Linked DNA regions of Caenorhabditis elegans. The protein of the gene in region 2 interacts with the protein of the main gene of each other region in a pairwise test. Each region holds a gene or a part of one and is shown on either strand. Other genes may lie near its edges.

Region 1 (5,028 bases), on a different chromosome or scaffold from region 2:
GGCATCGGCATTTACACGAAAGTTTTGGAAATCGCCAAGAATATCCGCTTGCCGCAATGCCCTGGTGTGTTTCATATTTTTGAATTCCCAGAAATAATTTCAGTGAAATTTGAAGCATTCATTGTGTTTCATAATCTTAAAATTTTGGTGTCTCATTGTCGGCTAACTAACCTTGGTGGCATTGGTGGTGGGCCTCTTGCAATGGGTTTTCGCACATTCTGCATATCAGCTTCTGCCATAACTGCCATAATTTTCATTCTTTCATCATCTGACAAATCATCGAGTCCAGGTGGTAATTCGGACATTATACTTGAACTCATAACACTGGGAGATCTTGTTGGAATTTGACTTGAAGGAGGAGGGAAACGTGCGCCCATCTCCATTTCTGCATTTGCCATAACTGACATGATCTTTTCTCTTTCTGCTTCCGAAAGATCCTCCATTCCTGCTGGAATATTTGATGAACCACTTGTGCTTGGTTTTACATTATTAACAGAATCGTCAAAGTCGGCTGCAGCCATAACTGACATGATTTGTCGACGTTCTTCTTCGGAAAGACCATCCATCGGAATACCGATTTGTGGAGAGCTGTAATTTCAAAATTAACCATTTAGGAAATGAAAATCAAAAGAAAAAAGAAGAGGGGAGGTAGAAAAGTGTACGTGCGGGGAGTAATCTGATATACTGGGAATGTTTTATGTTACTTACGGAATAGATTTGGTTGGAGCACTGGTGCCTAGGGAGGTTGAGGATTTGCTGAAATTGTTTTTTTTATAGTTGACTTGACAAAATATCAATTACCTGCTAGAGAAGACATTGTTGTTGACAATATTTGATGATGAAGAGGATGGCTGAAAAGTTTTTATTATTTTGAGGTTATTTAATTTATTTCAAAAAAATTAATTTACAGAAGTAATGTTTAAAAACATTAGCCGTTTTGTGAATTAGTTAATTGTTTGTTTATAATATTAATACCAAAAGCAGTTTCTCAAAAAAAAGTAATCAATCAAGTGAAAAACTCGTGAGCGTTTAGTCATGAGATCTAGATCAAAATCGTGTTACCATAATTGAATTGGGTCGGAAGCCCTACGGAAAGAGAATAAAAAGAAAAAAGTTCACTCACCTTGATGGGTACGGCGGCTTGGATTTGCGAACCCGCTTCCTTTGCCTGCAAAAAGAGCAATTATCGAAAGTGACAAGGAGAGAAGAGCACACGCATGTCTTCTCGCAAAAAATTAATGAGGCATGGGGGTCCCCCGAGCCGAATCCTAAAGTGTTTCTTTTTGTTGCACACCCTACATTTATGCATAAGCGACACATACAACAAAACATAAAAAAGTGGAAAATAGACCAAAACGATGGGTACATCTTTTGGAATGGTGTATGTGTGACCGCTAAAAAAAAAAAAGAAAAAAGGAAGAACAAATGATTGTATAGTGTTTGTTGGATGAGGGAACAACACATTTGCGTTATTTTGGAAAGACCGGAAAGTCGAATTCCGTGAGTAACGAGCCCATCGTAGCTGCTCTTGGAGAGTCAAAGACACTGCGAAATTGGTTTTGTATACTGACATTGAAATGGTTTTTTTTTTTTGAAAATGAATTCATGTAATATATAAATTTGTGTGTATAAAAAACTACTCATATTCTCAAAATGTTGCATGTAAAAGTTAGTTATTTTTAAGAAAAAATGCTGATTGAAGAGTTTCTTAGATGTTAACATAATTTCTATGTTTTTTTTCTAGAAAACAGTAAATTTGAATATAACAGAAAAAAACAAATTGTTGCAACATAATATGTTCTACATTATTGGAAAATCATTTCAAATATCCATACCAAATATCATAATAAAACCTGTCAAACAATTTTGGACAATTATTTATTTTCAGTCAAACAGCTCTAAAAAAAATAACAATTTCTATAGTGACTGAAAATATTTTGAATAGCTTCGCGCATTTACAGTTTCAAAAACGTAGTCTTTTGAGTTTTAGTTTTTTGTTCATGGTCTTTTTTCAAACGGTGAAGTCTGATAGGTCATAGTGAATATTCAATTACTTACCTTATTAATAGCATCATTTGCAATATTAGAAAGGAAGCCGAAATTGGGTCGCTTCAACATACGACTACCCGGCAGTGAATCGATGGGTGTCTGCTGCGCCCTCAACGACTCTTCTCTCTGCGTCTCAAATCCATCATCAAAAGCCTCACGACTACTACTCTTCGTCTTCTCCTCCTCTTCGTAGTTCTCCAGTTTTTGCTGCTCCACGGCGTCGTCACCATATTTTCTCTTTTCCCCTTCACCAATCGATCTTCCGGTGCCAAAGAAGGCAGAAGAAGTGGTGGGCTCATGGTGTTGGCTCTCTACGTCAATACCTGCAAATATATGTTTTTTTGCTTTGAGATTTGGTCTCTTCGTCTCGCTTTTTGATTTGTGCTATGAATTTTTCATTTTTGACAGAAAACTCACCTTCAAGGAAGTGAAGTTGATCCTCAACATACTCCAATGGGAACTCTTCAACGTCAGTTCGAATTTCATCTGAAATTTCAAAAATAAAAAAGTAAATAGAGAAGAAAAATGTAATATTTGTATTACATAGGTCTAATGAAATTATATTCAGTCATTTCTTTTATTTGGACGTTTTTCTGAGTCAAAAACAGAGTGGATAGTGGAAAATTTTGAAAGTTCAGATAAAAGTCTGCTGATTGCAATTAGAATTGTTTTTTGTAGAATTAAGAATTAATTAAACACTCTTGTAAAATATTTTTGATAACATTTTATCTAGCTTTTGCTTTCTTTGCTGTAGAAATTCTCTTGTCGAGTAGAATTTGTTTTAGCAAATTATACTAGGTAGGTGAGTAGGCCTCTGTGTACCTACACTGAAGCGCATAAAAGTTTTTTTTTTAAACCACTTACGCCCCACATCTTCTTCCTCATCGTGGATCGATTGTCGCATGAAACTGAGTTGCTCCTCATACCTGAACAAAATAGTAAAATTGAAACACTAATTTTCAAAAAGAAAAAAAAAGGTTTATTAAAAATTCAGCATACCACTTTCCGATATCCGACTCGGACTCTTGCCTAATCTCTGATATACTTCTAATGTCGTATTCACTACTCTTCCGTGACGCCATCGAATCTGCTGATGGCGTCGGAGACACAGTCTGAAAATCATAAAATCCTGTTGGATAGTAGTGTTTAGTAGTCAAAAAAGGGGAAAAGTTGAAAATCTGGGAGTTGTCACGCTATCTGCATAATATTTAATGACACCGTTGCATTGCCACGGCATGCATAGCAACATGGTGAATGTGAAAAAAAAGTATTTATGGCTGGGAAAATAGAAACAGCTCGCACACAAAAAACAACGTCTATTTCTCACCTTCTGAGCCATAATAGGACCCTGGGGCTCTTCAGTTGTGTCAAGTGCAGCAGGAGATGTAACTCGATCTGGAGAGAAGCCGCTCGTTAGCACTTGAGCATTGTTGTTATCGAAGGAGCCGCTGGCGCCTGAACTTGCATCTTCTTGTTCATCGAATATATCAGCACCTGATGTTGCATCTGATCCACTTTCTGTTATTGGTTCTTCTTCTTCATCTTGAACTGGTTCAGCAGTGAATGGAGTGTTATAATCCATATCAGCCATCTCAGCAATTCTTGCAATATGGTCAAGCTCTTCTTGAGTGAGATCTTGCTCAAAGTGTTTAGAAGGAGGAGGAGGAGGTGGAGTCAACGAAACCTTATGAGTAATCGATCTTTGGGTGGCAGGAAGTTGGACATCTTGTGCAGCCATTGCAGTAATCTTTGCTATATGATCAAGTTCCTCTTGAGTTAGTTCTGGTGGTTCGAATATTTTTACAGGAACATCATATTCTGCTGATGCCATTTCAGCTATGCGAGCAATATGATCAAGTTCTTCCTGAGTAAGTGATGTCTCGGATGGTTTTCCTGTTGGAGGTGGTAGAGTACTGATGTCCATAGATGCCATTCCTGTGATCTTAGCGATATGATCAAGTTCTTCTTGAGTAAGTTCAGATTCAACTGGAGCAGGATGTTCAGAAACAATTGAAGGATACATTCCAAAGTCTTCATTTGCCATTGCAGCTATTCGAGTAATGTGATCTATTTCTTCTTGGGAGAGCTCCGGTTCATTTTGTTTAACTTGAGGAGTTGGTAGAGTTTGTAGATCAGTGTTATCTTCAGTAGCCATAGCTGTTATTCTTGCAATGTGATCAATTTCTTCTTGCGATAGAGTTGGTTCTTCAACATGATAATTAATTGGCACTGGCATTGTCGCAACTCGTTGCTCTTGTTGGATAAAGGGAGATGGCGCATTTAAATCTTCGGAAGCCATCGCCTCGATCCTTGCAATATGTTCTTTTTCTTCTTCCGTTAGTTCTATTTCAATTTGCTGTGTTGGATGTGTTGAAACGTATGGTGTATTAAAATCTTCTTCAGCCATTGCAGCGATTCTGGAAATATGTTCACGCTCTTCTTCAGAAAGTTCAATTTCAGACGGCTGCGCAAACACTGGAGTAGCTGTCGAAGCTGGGAATCTATCAATTGCACCATCGTCCCTACTATAATTTTCATCATAAATTGGCGCGACAGCTCCTTTAACAGGATGTGTAAAGTCCTCGTCAGCCATTGCAGCTATTCGAGCAATGTGATCCATTTCTTCCATTGAAAGTTCAATATCTTTTTGGATAATTGAAGGAGGAGGAACAATGATTTTAGATTGTGAATCATCCGCTGCCATAGCCTCAATACGAGCGATATGATCTTTCTCTGCTTGTGACAATCCTTGATTCATATTAACTGCGGGTTGTTCAAAGTCTTCCGCTGCCATAGCATTAATTCTGGCAATGTGATCTATTTCATCTTGTGTGAGCTCTTGCTTAGATTCTTGCTGAGCACTTTCAGTAGCCTGTGCAATGTTATCTAGCTCTTCTTGGGTTAGACCACTAAGAGATTGCTTTGATTGATTTTGAACGTTCTTTATCACAGAATCTGTAGCATGCATGACCGACTGGG
Region 2 (3,711 bases):
ATAATTTTAGGTTTTATGCTATTTTTCAGCACATTTTTGAGTATTTTTCGCCTAAATTAAGTTTTTCGTGCTAAAATTTCAAATAAAACAGGTAAAAATTGCCAAAAGCAGCTGAAAGGTCGAATTCCAAAAATATATAAGCACTAAAAATCTACAAAAATTGCAGTTTTTCAGTCAAAATTCCAGTTTTTACGCCAAAAAACTGGAATAAAAATCAAATAAAAAGAAATCGAAATAAACTTTGAAACGGAAAGTTCTGAAAAAAATTGGGGTATTAGTAGTGATAAGAATAGTTCTCCTTATCACTACACTGTACTCCTTTAAGGCAATGTGATCGCGCATTTTCTCAGCGTCTCGTACTATCTCTCTCGTGATCTTTTTCGCTACGTCGGACTCTATAAATTAGGCAGATTTCTTTTGGTTCAGGCTACAGGGTTTTGTGTGTAGTTTGTAGTGGAGTCCAACTCACCTAGTAGGTTTAGTTGATGTGTGTTCTTCTGAAATCAAGCGAAAATTAAATTTATAGCGTGTAAAAAGTACTTTTAAAAGTGAAATTCAAGGTATAAATTTGTGAGGATTTGACATCAAAGAAGGAATTAAGAGAGAAAAATTCGAATTTTTCAGGGGTTTTTTCATTGACAACAAAAAACGGGGAAACCAACAACAAAAAAGGTGGGAAAACAATGAATGGTAGATCAAAAAAATAGTGAGAAAAAAGATTAGAGCATGCTCTCAATCAGAGTATCTCTGAGCTGATTGCTGATGCTTGTCGGAGCTCCTTGCTCGCCGAGCTTGAAGATCGATTCGACGACGGACAGTTCGGTAGAAGTGGAGTCGAGTCCACAAAATGCGACCCAATCGTTGACGACCATACCGGCTCCGATGAGCTCGGATCCTCGGTTGCATGTTCCGGCGACGACTGGGATTTGAAGGAGAGCGGCGATTTCTCGTTGGGTCTCTGGTGGAGTACGGGCGGCCACGAGGCAACCGTTAGAGCTGAGAATGCAGTAGCTGCCGACGAGCGAGTTTTGGGCGAGACTGACACGGAATACTTCCACTTTGAGCACTTCGACGAGCGCCTGAAAGAGAAAATTTAGGAATTTTTGTAGTTTGTAGTGTGAACATTGTTAATTTCAGTATGTTAAGCCAAGCATTTGAATCAAAAATTAATAAGAAAGTTATGAAAATTGTCCGTTTCCGACTAAAGTTTGGGTCTTTTTCGAACTTTTGAACAAAAAATAAATATCATTTTCAGAACAATCGAACATTTTTCGACGATTCTTTACTAACTTTCGATTAAAAAAGTGGGAATATCACACTGAAAGTCGCAGTTCTGTAGGATTTCTCCTTACCTGCTCAGTTTCTGCGCTAATTTCTGCGTGAACAATAGCGACGTGGTCGTTACAAGCGATAACATTTCCCAAAGCGGAAAGACGCTCGTCAACTCTGCGAATTGCGACCTGAAAATTCAAATTTTAAATATTTATTCTCAATTTCCTGCCCGCATACCTCATCTGGAAGCGAGTTTCTCAAGTGTTGAAGCTCCTGATCAGTCGTGGCGTTTGGTACGAGAAGTCCGTGACGATTTCCGACTGTAAGTCTTCCGACAATTCTGGTCGAGGCGATCGACGTGTGCACGACTGGGATGAGATCGCTGAGCTCGGCCTCCAAAATACTGTAAAAGTTCTGAGTGCCACCGACGCCGACGAGGCAGTAGCTGTTGGTGAGGGTGCAGAACACACCGACATCGTTCGATCCTTCGTAATCGACGCGGAGAGCCATTTTCAACCGGGAAACTGGAATTTTTTTTGAAAATTAATTGATTTAATATCGAGAAAATAGTAAAAATTGATTGGAAAAACGAGAAAGAATGGGTGTTAGCAAGACAAATACAAACTACAAATGGGCGGAGCTTCGAAATGTTGTGCAATATTGAATAACAGGGAATTTTCATTTTCTATAGGCAGTTTTATATGAAATTACTTAAAAATGAACGAAAAATTCAATTTTTGAATTTTAAAACTCAAAAAGTCAATGAAAAACTTAAGATTAAAAGTTTTAGGCAGAGATTTTCAATTGAAAAATAAAATAAAATTAACGGAAATTTTTTGGTGCAAACACGCTCCACGGAACTCTACAAATTTGCGTTATTTCGGAGTGTCGTTGCGATGACTTTGAAAAATCTTTTTGTCAGCATTCCAACATTTTTCGAAGTTTTCCACCATTTTTCCTGCTTTTCTAGCGTATTTTTGATTAAAAATTTGTAGAAATTAAGTGGAAGTTCGCTATTGAATAGGTTATCTGCAGAAAATCACTTGTGAGACAGCAGAAATCAGGGAAATCGAAGTTTTTCGTTAATCAGTTTTTTCTAGATGGTTTTCCGTATTTTTCCTGTCATTTTTATTGTTTTTTTTTCTCAAAATGTTTTGTGAGATCTTTTCAAATACAACATTAATTCCAGAATGGCCACCGCTGACGTCAAATCCACCGTCCCACACATGGACATGGACCGTGGAGGCGCGTTCGACTTCTCCAACTGCATTCGTAATCAGGCAATGTGCAAGATGGGCGGAAAGGCTCCAAAGCTCACCAGTACCGGAACCACCATCGTCGCCGTTGCCTTCAAGGGCGGACTTGTGATGGGAGCTGATTCCCGTGCCACCGCCGGAAATATCATCGCCGATAAGCATTGCGAGAAGGTTCACAAGCTCACTGAGTCGATCTATGCCTGCGGAGCCGGAACCGCCGCCGATCTCGATCAAGTCACAAAGATGCTCTCTGGAAATCTCCGTCTTCTGGAATTAAACACCGGGCGCAAGGCTCGTGTGATCACCGCTCTTCGTCAAGCTAAGCAGCATCTTTTCAACTATCAAGGATACATCGGAGCCTACTTGCTCATTGGAGGAGTCGATCCAACTGGCCCACATCTTTATATGTGCTCCGCCAACGGAACTACAATGGCCTTCCCATTCACAGCTCAAGGATCTGGATCATATGCAGCTATCACTATTTTGGAGCGTGATTTTAAGGTTGATATGACGGTAAGTAGTCTATTTTTGAATTCCAATGCGCTAAAAATACTATAATTATATTTTTCAGAAAGATGAAGCCGAGAAGCTTGTCCAACGCGCCCTGGAAGCCGGTATGCACGGTGACAACGCCTCAGGAAACAGTTTGAATCTTGTGATCATCGAGCCAAGCGAGACCGTCTTCAAGGGGCCAATTGTGCCAGAATTCTGCAAGCGACCAGAGCCCAACGACCTCGTCTACAAATTCCAGGCCGGAGCCACCAAGGTGCTGAAACACAAGACCTACAAGTACGACGTCGTCGAGTCCATGGATATCACTCACTAAATTGCGGTCTTCTGTCGATGTGTGTATTCTTTCCCCCAATTATTTATTTTTTTTCGATTTTCCATCCGTTTCGGTGTCGTCGGTGATTACTTTTTTCGGTATTTTCGTATCCGCCGGCAGTTCTTATCACATTTGTTTTATAAATTCCGAATATAAACTGTCTATTTTCCTTAAAACTGGTATTGTTTGTTGTCTTAATTTGGACTGAAAGCCGGAAAAATGACTTGAAAAACGCTTTCAAGTGTTTTTCCCAATAGTAAAAGTTACTCTCCGGGTTTTAAAAGGAAAAAACTGCGAAATGAATAGATTTTCCAGATCTGAATTGAAAACTTTCTGCGAAAAACTAATTTCCACCTG
Region 3 (5,005 bases), on a different chromosome or scaffold from region 2:
TCATTCATTTTTCAAACTTTGTCCAATTTGATGAAATGTGATTTGAATGCCTTATTTTTAGGTTCAGAAACAGTTTTGTCCTCAAGAAAACCGTACTACGTTTTCACATTCATAACTTTGAAATTCGTTCCGATAGCGTTCCGCTAATAAACAAGAACTCTCAAATGTCTCTGATATATAACAAATCTGAAAAGTATTAATGCACTTCCAAAAGGTAATCTTTATCTTTGAAACATCACATTTACCCATCTAGAAGTTTGTTAATTCTGTTTCTTGTCAGCTATATGAATTGATTCATAACGGATTTTGTCCGCCTTTTATATATCTTCTCATAGTTAATCTAATCTTCAAATCGTGAAAACTCTTTTCATATAACACATTTAGAAATCCAGCCGATGGAATAGGAAAATAGTATATATATATATATATATGGATATGGATATATAAGTGTTGCGAATGTTTAATATTCTCTTTTTTTGAAAAGTTTGTTCGATTGTTGAACAAAAATGTTTTGCTTTTGCTGTGAGTTTTAATAATTAGTTACTTCATAGTCCTAGTAGGAATTCTGAACGTATCTGAAAGGGCATTGAAGGGGCGTGAACTTTTTGGAAAGGTGATCCCTCGTCCTGTTCCCTGTTTGTCTGTCCCCTGTCCTCACCTCCTTCGTCTTCTTTTTCTGTCGTTTTATACTTCTCTTTGCTATGCATTCATGAACAGATAATCCAATTTGAGGCTGAGGCCTGCGTGTGTATGTGTGTGTATGTGTGGAGGCCCTCCAACGAAGAAAGAACAAAACTTGGCAATCTTGAGCATATTGGATAAGCTGCCCGCTGAGTTGCTAATTGTCAACGTTTGGCACAAACGCCACATAGAGCCATCTCGGGATGGAAAGGGAGAGAAGACTGGTTGGGGGAGAAAAGAAGGGTAGAGCCTTTGGAGCATTTTTGTGTTTTGCGGGCGTTGCTCCATCCCTTCGTCGTTTTCTCCACCCTGCGTTTGCGCATCAGTCGCCACACGCCGCTAGCCCCCGAGTCCTAAACCCCTCCCTCCCATCTACACACATCCATTTATTTATTAGAAGAGCTCTGAGTAAAACATGAACTATTCGCTATCCGTGGCCTTGTTTTATTCATTGCTTATATCGCATTCGCCCGGGTTTTCCTCCTGGGCGCGCCTTGTCTTTTTTCTTTTCCTCCCGTTTCACCTCCGTTTTTCCTTTCGCCCTCTTTCTCTTTCCTTACGGATACGGGAGGCTCCCCCCACCCCTATCTTCAAACCTTGTCTTTTTTCCGTGCTCAGGGAAACGAGCATGAATTCATTGTCTCAAATGAATGTCTCCTTTTGTGCATCATTAATCTTGCATCGAATTTTGCTTTTTATTCTTACATGCTTTTGTCCACTTTGCACAAGCTGTCCATTTTTTGTCAATTCAAACATCAGCTTGAACCTTTACCTGTCCATGGTTGGCCTTTTTTTATGGCGAAACCTGGCGAACCCAATATCCATCACCCTTCTATTCCTTTTCTTTTCCCGTTTTCCTTCGCTTCCCACTTCCCCACCTCCTACGCTTATTTCTTATTCCTTTCCCGTTTTAGTGCTCTCTTTCTCTTTTTTGCAAAAAGTTCTTGATAGCAGTAAAGAAAAGAAGAGGAAGACTATTTTTGGATGTCCCGAGTTTCCCACGGTATTCATCGACGTCGTCGTCGAAAATGACCACATCCAGTCTTACTGGGCGCTCATGTCTTGGAAAAGGCGTCATTTTTCAACGTTTCTAATCCCGGACGCTCTTATTTTTCCTCTCTCGGTTTCCCCATCTTTGACGCTGTTCTTTTTTTGTTTCAGCGTTGATCCTGTTTTCTTGTTGGCCTTTATTGACATACAACTCTTAAACCGAACAAATTCGTTTCTATTCTTTCTATTCGGATTGTTATCGCGCTTTAGTCTTTTTATACGCTATGATTTCACATGATGCAATAACTCCTTATTACCTTAAAAATCAAACTTCAGTGCCTCATTAAATATAATCATGGACGATCCGTCGATGATGCCGGATTTATCCCATTTATCTGCAGAAGAACGTGAAATAATAGAAAATGTGAGTTGTTCCAGCACGAACCCCCTCCCCCCCCCCCCCCCCCCCCATCGTTCATTTTGCCCATCCGTCTGCTTCTTGTGGGGTTCAAAAAAGTAGTTGGTGCGGTGTGAGTCCTCTGTCTCGGAGCATGACGGGCCCCCCGAGGGGTGAAAGAGCGAGAAAAGGGGAGGGGTATTACTTACAACGCCGTGAGCACACGCAAAATAATGGATATGCAATCAAACGAGTGTGTGCTCTTATGTACATTCGACAAGAAAATTGGCATGATATCATGCGTGCACATACATATAGAGAATACTCACTCAGAACGCTCATGATTTATGTTTTTTGCAGGTCTTCAAACGACAAAAAGATGAGGAGGCAAAAGAAACACAAATATCACAGTAAGAGTTTTGTAGACACATAATTGCATTGGTATTTCTTCATGCGAATGATTTTCCAGAAAAGCATCTGAAGAATTGTCAGAGTTAGACAAACAGATCACGGAGCGGAAAGAAACATCGAAAAAGCTGGTTGGCACACAAGATGACGCGATCTGTCAAATCTGTCAGAAGACCAAATTTGCGGACGGAATTGGTACGTTGTTCCTTTTCCTGAAGAAGCGATGAGAGCAAAGGGTCCTTCTGTCGCCCTGAGATGAGCCTCGTTTTCTGTTCCTAGTAATTCTCTCCGCGGCGTCAGAGAGCCCCTAACCCTTGGCTGTCATCGTCTCTCTAAAAGGACATCAATTTAGCACAAGATGAGAGGTTTTTCAGGCCACAAGTGCTTTTATTGTCAATTGCGTAGCTGCGCCAGATGTGGAGGTAGAGCACAGAGCAAAAATAAGGTACGAGCGGGAGTGAAAGTGTGGGATGAAATAAGGGGAAACATGAAAGAGAAAGGACAAATTCTGGATGACTGCATTTGAATAACAGAATAAAAACCAATTTGAGCAAAATCGACTTGAACATTTTTGCGATATGATGTTGCAATGTTTATATTTTCACAAAAAAAATCTAAACTTTACAATTTATTATAAAATCATGTTTAATTTTATAGTTAATGAATCTAATTTGGAAATCAAGCGAAATAATCGTTTTTACATCTAAAAAAATACGACAGAAGCTGAAAAACAATAGCATCCATTGTTTGCAAAGTAGTTTGGAATAAAGAGATAAATAGAAAGTATTAGCCCCGTGGGTGCACCGACCGATAAAAAAGTAGAGAAGTGAATTGAAGAGAAGAAGTAAAAAGCTTTCAGGCAATCTGGGCTTGTTCGTTGTGCCAGAAACGTCAACAAATTCTTGCCAAAACAGGCAAATGGTTCCAACCCGAAGAGCAGCCGCAGCCGAAAATTAGCGGCTCCGAGCCAAGCCCTTCGCCCCAACCACTAACTGACGACAACGTACCAGAACCGCAGCAGAGGCGAGCAGAGCCGCCTGATAAAATGTGAGTTTCTTCCGGTTTCTTTTACTTTTCCAAGTTTGTGTTTGATTGTTACATGTTCCTTTGAAGCGTTAGTTTCAATCAATCACAATTCAGACTAATTTTCATATTTTCAGGAACACTCCAAATTATCAAAACAACCAACAACCCCGTGGAATGGGAATGCAGCCAAATCATAATCAAACTCAGCAGAATTTCATGAATCAGAACCAAAATTCAAATCAACATCCAAATCAAAACCACAATCAGAATCAAATGCAGAACCCGCATCAAAATCAAAATCATGTTCAAAATAATCATCAAGGAGCCAACAATCATCAACAGAATAATCGAAGAGCTATGCAACAACAGCCAATGAGTCAAAATCAGGCAAATCAGATAAATCAGATGAATCAAAACCAAAATCAACAACAGAGCCACAATCAGAATATGACTCAAAACCAGAGAAACCAGGTACTTGAAGTTGGAAAGTTCCACGATTATTTCAAATTCTACATGTAAATAATTCAGACTGGCCCCCAAAACCAACAAAGGACAAATGACTCTCGAACTATGAAACAAACGCCTCAACAGCAGCCCAGTCAGTATCAAAACAACGTAGGCGCGGCACATCAACACCATAATCAACATGGACAACAAGAGCAGCATCATCAACGTAAGAGCCTCCAGGGGTATAAAAAGAGAAAGTGAAAAACAAAACAAAAAAGTGTTGTGCGCTAAAATTGCGAACGAGACGCAAATTGATATAGTCTGGATAATTTCAGAAATGAATGAACAACGGACGGATAACAACAGAATGAGAGAGAATACTAACGGGCAAGGAGGAATGTTCAATAGGCAGCCGTCATTAGAGGTGAAGGGATCAGGGATATCAAAAACGAGCTTTTGAAAAAAGATTGAGCAGCTTATTATTAGGGTGATACTTCTGTAAAAGTAATGAACAAATGTGAAGAATCATCTAGAGCGGAAAATTTGGTCAGAATTACAGTACTGTCGTACAAAGTTCAGAGTAGAAAAATATATTAAAATGAAAAAAAAAACGAAATTGTTTCTAATTTAGCAAACTACGCCCATGAACAAATACAATCACGTTGAGGATGATGGCATGAACCAGCGGTAAGTATCCCATAAAGTTTAAAAACTTGATACCCACTTGCTTTCAGACCCACGTTCTACACTGGAAATTCCGAGAATGACCAAAGACAATTTGATGGCCAAATGCAACAGGGCTCACAACAAAATAATCAGAATCAGAACCAAAACAACCGAAATCTTAGAAAAAACACAGTCAGCCGGGTAACAGAGGAGGATTATGCAAGTTCGTCAAACTTCGAATCTAAGAAACGTAAGATGATATCATATCGATAATACCTTGCTAAATTCTATTTTGAGAATCAATTTCAGAGCGGAACAACTCTTCACAGAGTCAGTCCAACACGCAAGGCGTGCGAGCATGTCCTTCTACTGACGACCATTTGAACCGGG

The links.
Region 1: the proteins of eif-6 (region 2) and cla-1 interact in a two-hybrid assay, tested with the Caenorhabditis elegans proteins (one large-scale study listed by BioGRID).
Region 3: the proteins of eif-6 (region 2) and unc-10 interact in a two-hybrid assay, tested with the Caenorhabditis elegans proteins (one large-scale study listed by BioGRID).

Annotation. Positions count from the first base shown.
Region 1 is NC_003282.8:7,608,783-7,613,810, reverse strand, and holds the start of cla-1 (Protein clarinet), read right to left. Parts: upstream 3,132-5,028; coding exon 3,049-3,131; intron 2,976-3,048; coding exon 2,914-2,975; intron 2,536-2,913; coding exon 2,467-2,535; intron 2,373-2,466; coding exon 2,059-2,372; intron 1,169-2,058; coding exon 1,124-1,168; intron 852-1,123; coding exon 802-851; intron 757-801; coding exon 709-756; intron 589-708; coding exon 172-588; intron 1-171. UniProt on the Caenorhabditis elegans protein: Required for synapse development in the active zone of presynaptic terminals of specific neurons including serotonergic NSM neurons.
Region 2 is NC_003279.8:12,967,031-12,970,741, reverse strand, and holds eif-6 (Eukaryotic translation initiation factor 6), read right to left. Parts: upstream 1,797-3,711; 5' UTR 1,783-1,796; coding exon 1,510-1,782; intron 1,461-1,509; coding exon 1,353-1,460; intron 1,080-1,352; coding exon 720-1,079; 3' UTR 507-719; downstream 1-506. Other genes in the region: pbs-2 (Proteasome subunit beta), read left to right, coding at 2,463-3,041, 3,100-3,354. UniProt on the Caenorhabditis elegans protein: Binds to the 60S ribosomal subunit and prevents its association with the 40S ribosomal subunit to form the 80S initiation complex in the cytoplasm. May also be involved in ribosome biogenesis. Involved in miRNA-mediated gene silencing.
Region 3 is NC_003284.9:7,277,323-7,282,327, reverse strand, and holds the start of unc-10 (Rab-3-interacting molecule unc-10), read left to right. Parts: upstream 1-2,005; 5' UTR 2,006-2,026; coding exon 2,027-2,095; intron 2,096-2,244; exon of another isoform or gene 2,245-2,383; intron 2,384-2,428; coding exon 2,429-2,478; intron 2,479-2,537; coding exon 2,538-2,671; intron 2,672-2,725; exon of another isoform or gene 2,726-2,810; intron 2,811-2,850; coding exon 2,851-2,921; intron 2,922-3,335; coding exon 3,336-3,523; intron 3,524-3,636; coding exon 3,637-3,973; intron 3,974-4,030; coding exon 4,031-4,175; intron 4,176-4,284; coding exon 4,285-4,373; intron 4,374-4,580; coding exon 4,581-4,636; intron 4,637-4,683; coding exon 4,684-4,865; intron 4,866-4,924; coding exon 4,925-5,005. UniProt on the Caenorhabditis elegans protein: Regulates the efficiency of a post-docking step of the release pathway. Acts after vesicle docking likely via regulating priming. May regulate the conformational changes in syntaxin.